Canis lupus familiaris: one gene and its partner. The protein of the gene in region 1 interacts with the protein of each later gene in a biochemical or structural test. Links are inferred from orthologs where the notes say so. Each region holds a gene or a part of one and is shown on either strand. Other genes may lie near its edges. The genes, in order: MALT1 and RELB.

Region 1 (3,818 bases):
ATGAGGCAACTCTGACGTGTGTTTGGGGGACTTGTGTGGTCTGGGTGAACTCCACAGAGACTCTACAGTTTATATATTGGGACTATAATTTAAATTGGCAGGAAAGGGAGAGGTCGCTGCAAAGGTGTGTGAGGTACGAATTCTGCAGTATGTCATGGAGATTATCTAAAGGCTTTGGCCTTTGTTGTTGGTTATGTCTCTTTGGGAAGATTTTGGGGGTTTTTTTTGTTGTTTTGATTGTTTGGTTTAACTTTCTTGTTTTTCTTCTCTTGAATGTTTCATACTTACGCTTTCTCTTCCTATGAAATGGTTGAAGTCCATACTTCTTGTCCTGTTATTTATGACTTTCTGTTGTCTGACCTTAACCTGGCTTTCTAACCTTGTATATGCCTACTGAACACAATGACATTGAAAAGGAAATGGTATATGTATGTTAAATAGTGGTAGTACGTGATGTGATGAACACTGGGTATTATACGCAACTGATGAATTATTGAAAACCACATCTGAAACTAATGATGTACTATGTGTTAGCTCAGATTAAATTTAAATAAAAATTAATAAAATAAAAATTAGTGATAGTTAAAAGAATAGTTTTAACAAAAGGACAGTGAGACAGAGAGTAGGTTCTTTGGGACAGAGGTCAGCAAACTTTTTCTACAAAGAGCTAAATAGTCCATGTGTTTCAGCTTTGTGGACCAACTGCTCACCTCTGCTGTTACAACGGAAAGCAGCCATCCACCACTGTAAATATGTATGTGAACGAGTGAGGCTGTGTTTACAAGATCAGGTGGCTGGGTGGGTTTGACCCACAGACCAGATTTTGTCTTGCCCCTGTATTAAGGTATTTCTAGATGCTTAGAAGTACTTTGAATGTTAGTAGTACTGCTAGTCTTAAAAACTGTTGAAAAAAATGAGGACACATAGTAAGAAAAATTTGACAGTACACAAGAGTTTATAGTAAAAAGTGAATCCTCCAGCTGCCCTGGCTCTCCTCTGTAGGAGAATTACTACTACTGGCTTCTTGGCTATCTTGTCAAAGTTAACTCTGTACATATAAGAGCAAATATATATTCTTACTAATAAAAATGATATCATGCAGAACAAACACTGTTCCTTATCTTTAATCATATTGAATATATATGTAAGCACACTACTTTGCTAATACAAAATACTGTATATTAAGTTTTTTCATTTTTCAAAATGCCTCTTTCTTGGGTCATATTATACTTTATAAAGGCAGAAGAATGAGTAGAGAAAGGTATCTGGTCTTTCTAATCAGTATTCCCAAATTAGATAAAAATTTTTATTGACATCAGAGCCAAACTTCTATCCTGTTTCAAGATTTCTCTCATTTTCTAATTTAGTAGTCACAGGAGCTGAGTTGGAGAAGGGCATAAAGAGGAATCCTCTATGATGGCAGAAGAAGGAAAGGACAGGAGCATTCATAACGTAAATAACTGCACCGGTGACTTACAGTTTATCCCTACAGAAGTTCATACCAGACATGTAGCAGGCATATCATGTTGGAGAATCCTGTTGACTTGAATTAAATCTGTTGTTTGCAGTTGTCTGGACTTGGAGCAGTGTTCTCTTAAGGTCTTGGAGCCTGAAGGAAGTCCAAGCTTATGTTTACTGAAGCTGATGGGTGAGAAAGGTTGTACGGTCACAGAACTGAGTGACTTCCTGCAGGCTATGGAGCACACGGAGGTTCTTCTGCTTCTTAGCCCCCCAGGTAGGTTCTTCTCTTGGGTCTGTTCTCCAGGAGTTTGTGTAGACAAACGTAGAGGAAGATCTCTCATTTGACAATGAATTGTATTAAATATTTTTGGAAAATATAAACATTTTTTCCTTCCAGGTTGAAACTAAAGAACACATGAAAAACAAGTATAATGCATAAATATTTATTGGGTTGTGGTTCAAAAGCATCAACTATAGATGATATTTTGGGGACTTGTAAAACCATTTGGATTTAACAAGTGTATTAGATATTAGGGAATTATCATATGATAATGGTATTGTAGCTCTATAGAAGAATGTCTTTATTCCAAGGAGATGCATGCTAAAGTATTTAGGGGATGGAGCACCTGGCTGGCACAGCTGGTAGAGCATGCAACTCTCACCTCAGGGTCGTGAGTTCAAGCCCCACGTTGGGCGTGAAGCCTACTTAAAAAAAGTATTATTTAGGGGTAAGATTTCTTTTTTGTTTCTAGAGATTTTTATTTATTTGAGAGAAAGAAAGCAAAATAGAGAGCATGAAGTGGGGGAGGGGCAGAGGGAGAAGGAGAAGCAGATTCCCTGCCGAGCAGTGATGTGGAGCTCGATCCCAGGACCCTGAGATCATGACCTGAGCTGAAGGCAGATGCTTACCCTACTGAGCCAACCAGGTGCCTCTACGGGTAAGATTTCTATAACTCGTGTTGAAATAGTGTAGCCAAGGCTCAGTCAGTAGAGCCTGTGATTCTTGATTTTAGAGTTGTGAGTTTGAGCTCCACGTTGGGGGTAGAGTTTACTTTGAAAGAGAGAAAGAAAAAGAAAGAAAACAAAGAATCAAAGAAAGAAAAGAAAAGAAAGAAGAAAAAAATGCAGCCAAAAAAATAAGTATGTATTAATATGTAGACAAATGAGATAAAGCATATATAATAAATGTTTATTGTTTAAGTATTTCACCAACATGATGCTTTTGAAATGTTGATTGATTCAACCGTGATTTTTCTTCTGATCATACCAATATTGAGAGATTTTTCACTTCCAGGGTCAGGTGTGAGGAATAGGAAACAGCCCCTTGTCTCCACAATGACAGATAAAGTTGGTCTGCTGCAGCAGTGTCAGGCAGGAGAAACCATGTGATCTAAGTCACTTGATGGCACCAGCACCGCAGACCTTCTCTCTCAGGGGTTTGGTTCACCATTATAGGTTCCACTAGAAGCAGAGAAACCAGTCAAGATTGAGAGGTCCATGGTCTAAGGACTCATGCTCTCTATTTTACATGGTTTTGATGTATGCAGTTTTTATTACATAACCGGCTTATTTGTGATAATGTTTTGAAGTTAACATGGGGAACCTAAAATTATAATTTAGATCTTTGTCAGTTCTGGGGTTCCGGAATCTTCTAACTGAAAAGTCTTGAAGCAGGTTGGGCTTCAAGAGAGGCTGAGGACAGCCCTGTTTTCAAAGAATTGGTTTGTTTTCATCTTTGCCCCTCCTTTCTTGTTTTTGGCTTCCTTCCAAGAGTGACTTTCTACATAGTTGCAAGAGCTCTCCTGACTGTTCCTTGCATTCATCTTTGTTCCAGCAAAAATCATAATAAGATTCACTCTTGCTGGGATCCCTGGGTGGCGCAGCGGTTTGGCGTCTGCCTTTGGCCCAGGGCACGATCCTGGAGACCCGGGATCGAATCCCACATCGGGCTCCCGGTGCATGGAGCCTGCTTCTCCCTCTGCCTGTGTCTCTGCCTCTCTCTCTCTCTCTCTCTCTCTCTCTCTCTGGGACTATCATAAATAAATTTAAAAAAAATTAAAAAAAAAAAAAAGATTCACTCTTGCTAACTAATTTCAATGACATGCTTGTCCCTACACCTGTCACTGTGGCGAAGGAGATGGAATGTGCCCATTTGCTGGCTTAGACCCAGGAGAGAAGTTGGGTTGAGTCAGCTTTCCAGAAACTACGTGGATTACCAAACGAAAGTGGGCCAGCATAATATGCTGAGGAGGTAACTTAAGAGTCCGCTACAAATGGAAAGGACCCTAGATTATAAGTCAGGAAACTTAGACTCTTAAGATCCTCCTCTGCTTCCCGAGGCCTAATGTAGATGATAT
Region 2 (3,593 bases), about 94 Mb from region 1:
AAATAAAAATTTAAAAAAAAAAGATTTTATTTTATTATTCATGAGAGACACAGAGAGAGAGGCAGAAACACAGGCAGAGGGAGATGCAGGCTCCATGCAGGTAGCCTGACGTGGGATTCGATCCGAGGTCTCCAGGATCAGGCCCTGGGCTGAAGATGGCACCAAACTGCTGAACCACCCTGGCTGCCTGGCCTTTTAGATTTTATTGCATTTCTTTTTATAGACACTATATAATGGGTACATAGGTGCTTTGTGTATGTTTACTCATTGAATCTATACCATCACATCACTTCCCCCCTCATTTTACTGATAAAGAAACTGAGGCCCGGGAAGCTGAAGTCTCTTAGCCAAGGTCACATACTGCATTTGCGGTGGAGCAGGGACTTGAACCTGGGCATCTATACAGGTAGATTAGTGATACAATATTATGTGGAACAGATAGCAGGGGGTAAATGGTAGATAAATGGGAGGGGTTGTCAGAGCCAACCAGCCTTAATTCAGAGCCTGTCTCTAGCCCAAACACCCTCTGGCCTGTTCTACCCCTGCTTTCATCTTAACTCATATGCCAGCCTCTGCTTCCCATGAACTGCAGCCTTATCTGGCTGCCATCAGAAGCCTCCCCAGCCGCTGACCACTAGCTCTAACAGTGCTGTCCCCTAATACCCCAGCTACCCCAGGGCACCCAGCTCCCAGCCAGCCACCAACAGCCAGCCACTCAGAGTCTGCTGAGCCTGGATCACTCCAACCAGTCCCACTGTGGAGGTTTCAAGTATCACCTGTTGTTCCCCCTACCCACTGCACCTGGTAACTAATGCCCAGAGCTCTACCTATAGCAACAACCAATCCTAGCCCACTTCACCAGTCTTCAATCCCCAAGTCCCAAAGCGTCTCCTCTTTAGCCACTGCTGTTCATCTACGTCCTCCATCACCCGTTTCCCAATGCCTAAAGCCCTCCTCTCTCATCCATGGGGCAAAGCTGCTCTGGCATGATAGTATAATGGTTAGGAGCATGGCCTCTGGAATCAGACTGAGTTTGGATTCTGAAGCCTGAATTTAGCCATGTGACTTCTTTGGATCTCATCTGTCAGATGGAAATCTTACCTCTTAGGGTCCTTTTTAGAATCTAGTCAGGTCATATCACACAGATAGTTAGCATAGTTAGTGCTCAGGAGATCTTAGGAACTTGCTGGACAGGAATGCCAGGAATGCATTTGTTATGATCATGTTTAGCTGTATTCACAACAAAACCCAAATTAACAGGGGCTTCAACAGGCTATATTTCTCTTCTCAGATAAACAGTGGTAGATAGTCCTGGGATGGTGTGGAGGCTGTAGGATCATCAGAGACCCAACCAAGCTCCTGCCATTTTCAACTCATTTTCCATCTCATGGTCCAATATGGCTGCTGAGGCTCCAGCCATCACACCCATAGTCCAGCCAGGAGAACTTAAGTCACATGATGACATTTAGCTGTAAGGGAGGCTGGGAAATAGAGTCCCAGCAGCCCTGAGTCTTTCTGAGATAAGCATAATTTGCCTTTGCTGGTCAGGTTTGTCTTGTCTCAGAAAGAGACTCTCCTTTATAATGACATACAATTTTACCTTCCAATTTGGGAACTGGTGACTTCTCATTTAGGTCTTCCATGTGTGGGGCTTTCACTTTTTGGGTGGTCTCTATAACTTGGGTGAGGGGAGGACTTTAGAGCCTCTTCAACATCCTTATTTTTTGGAAAAACTCCCCAGCCCTGCAGAAGCATAGTTTGAACCCTGGTTCTACAACTTACCAGCTATGTGTGACTGAATTATTTTGCCTGTTTGCTTTTTTTTTTTTTAAGATTTTATTTATTTATTTATTCATGAAAGACATAGAGAAGCAGAGAGAGAGAGGCAGAGGGAGTAGCAGGCTCCATGCAGGGAGCCTGATGTGGGACTCGATCCCTGGACCCTGGGATCAAGACCTGAGCAGAAGGCAGATGTTCAACCACTGAGCTACCCAGGCGCTCTTGACCTCAATTTGCTTATTAAGTGCGAATGGTGATAATGCCTACCCCAGGGTTCTCCTTGGGATTAAAGGAGGCCACGGTGATCATGCATTTAGCTCTATTAGGTCACTGGAGTTTGGGCATGGCCAGAAGTTGATGCTAAAGCCACCCTATTTTCCTTCCCTCTCATCTGTGCAGGCCCGTTCCTCCCACCGTCAGCCCTGCTGCCAGACACAGACTTCTTCCCTGGCACCGTGTCCCTACCCGGCCTGGAGCCCCCCGGTGGGCCGGACCTTCTGGACGACAGCTTTGCCTATGATGACAGCACGGCCCCCACACTTTTCACCATGCTGGACATGCTGCCCCCTGCGCCGCCACTCGCCAGCGCTGTCACGGGCAATGGGGCTGCAGGGCCGGCTGTTGGAGAGCCTTCCGGCCCTGAGCCAATGACGCTGGACTCATATCAGGCCCCAGGCCCCGGGGACGGGGGCACTGCCAGCCTTGTGGGCAGCAACATGTTCCCCAACCAGTACCGTGAGGTGGGCTTTGGGGGAGGCCTCCTGTCCCCGGGGCCCGAGGCCACGTAGCCCTGAGGTGCTGGAGGAGAGGCACTGGGTGGGGAGGACTGGAGGTGGAAGGGGCCGTGCAAACCCAACGAGGATGTCCCGCACCGCACCTCCATACCCGTGGGCCCCCAAGTGGTCAGTCTTCCGATCTCCTCATCCTTCTTAATGGGACATCTTTGGCGCTGGTGAGAAGCTCCGTAGCACCGGTTTCCCCTGAGCCCATTTTACAAATGAGAAAACCGAGTCCGGAGAGGAAAAGGGGCTTGGCTCCCATGCACCAGCTTGTAAAGTTGCCTCAGCCCCCACGAGTGGGGGCGCCTTCTCCAGGTGGATTCTGGAGTGTACATAATGGGAGAAAGGTGCAGATCCTCAGCTCTCCTCCCCCGAGCTTGAAGGTGGGGGATAAAGATTGTTTGTTGTGAGTCTTCCCAATAAAGATGAGTTTTTGAGCCTTGGGAGTCTGCTGTCTTCTCCGCTGGGGAGACCCCAGGGCGCTCACGCACGAACCCACGGGGATCTCCTCGGCTCCGCCTCTCTCGGCAGCATCCTCCAAGACCCCGCCCCTCGCGTCCAGACCCCGCCCCCTCGCGCCCGGGGCCCGCCCCTTCGCGTCAGCGGAAGCGCGCTTCTCCACGTTCCGCCCCTCCCTTTCGTGCGGCCTCCCACTTCCGTTTCCGGTGCGGGCCGCGCGCGAGCGCAGCGGTGGGAGGCGGCGACGAGCCGGTGAGTGCAGGCAGTGGGCCCCGACCTTCTGGCTTTCGGGGGGGCGTCAGCCCAGCTTCGCCCCAGTCTCGGCCTTTCCCCGGGCTGCTGTGAGCCTCTGCTCGGCCCCAGCCCCGAGGGCCGCCGGCCCCGCACCCCCTCCGGCCTGCCGCGCCTCAGGCCGCGCCCCTGTCCCCGCGGTGGGCCCAAGCTCGCCGCGTACGACCCCGCCGCCTACCACAGGCCCCACCCCCTTGTCAAAAACCTTACCCTGATCTGCGAGGCCCGGACGCGGTCCCCGAGCCCAGTCCAGAGCCTCGGGCTCCGCCCCTGTCTACAAGCCTT

What was found.
Region 2: of the proteins of MALT1 (region 1) and RELB, one has a biochemical effect on the other in vitro, tested with the Homo sapiens proteins (2 studies listed by BioGRID). The link is inferred for Canis lupus familiaris from reciprocal best matches to the Homo sapiens genes MALT1 and RELB.

Annotation. Positions count from the first base shown.
Region 1 is NC_049222.1:17,505,904-17,509,721, reverse strand, and holds part of MALT1 (mucosa-associated lymphoid tissue lymphoma translocation protein 1), read left to right. Parts: intron 1-1,568; coding exon 1,569-1,735; intron 1,736-3,818. UniProt on the Homo sapiens protein: Protease that enhances BCL10-induced activation: acts via formation of CBM complexes that channel adaptive and innate immune signaling downstream of CARD domain-containing proteins (CARD9, CARD11 and CARD14) to activate NF-kappa-B and MAP kinase p38 pathways which stimulate expression of genes encoding pro-inflammatory cytokines and chemokines.
Region 2 is NC_049222.1:111,145,045-111,148,637, reverse strand, and holds the end of RELB (transcription factor RelB), read left to right. Parts: intron 1-2,178; coding exon 2,179-2,567; 3' UTR 2,568-2,997; downstream 2,998-3,593.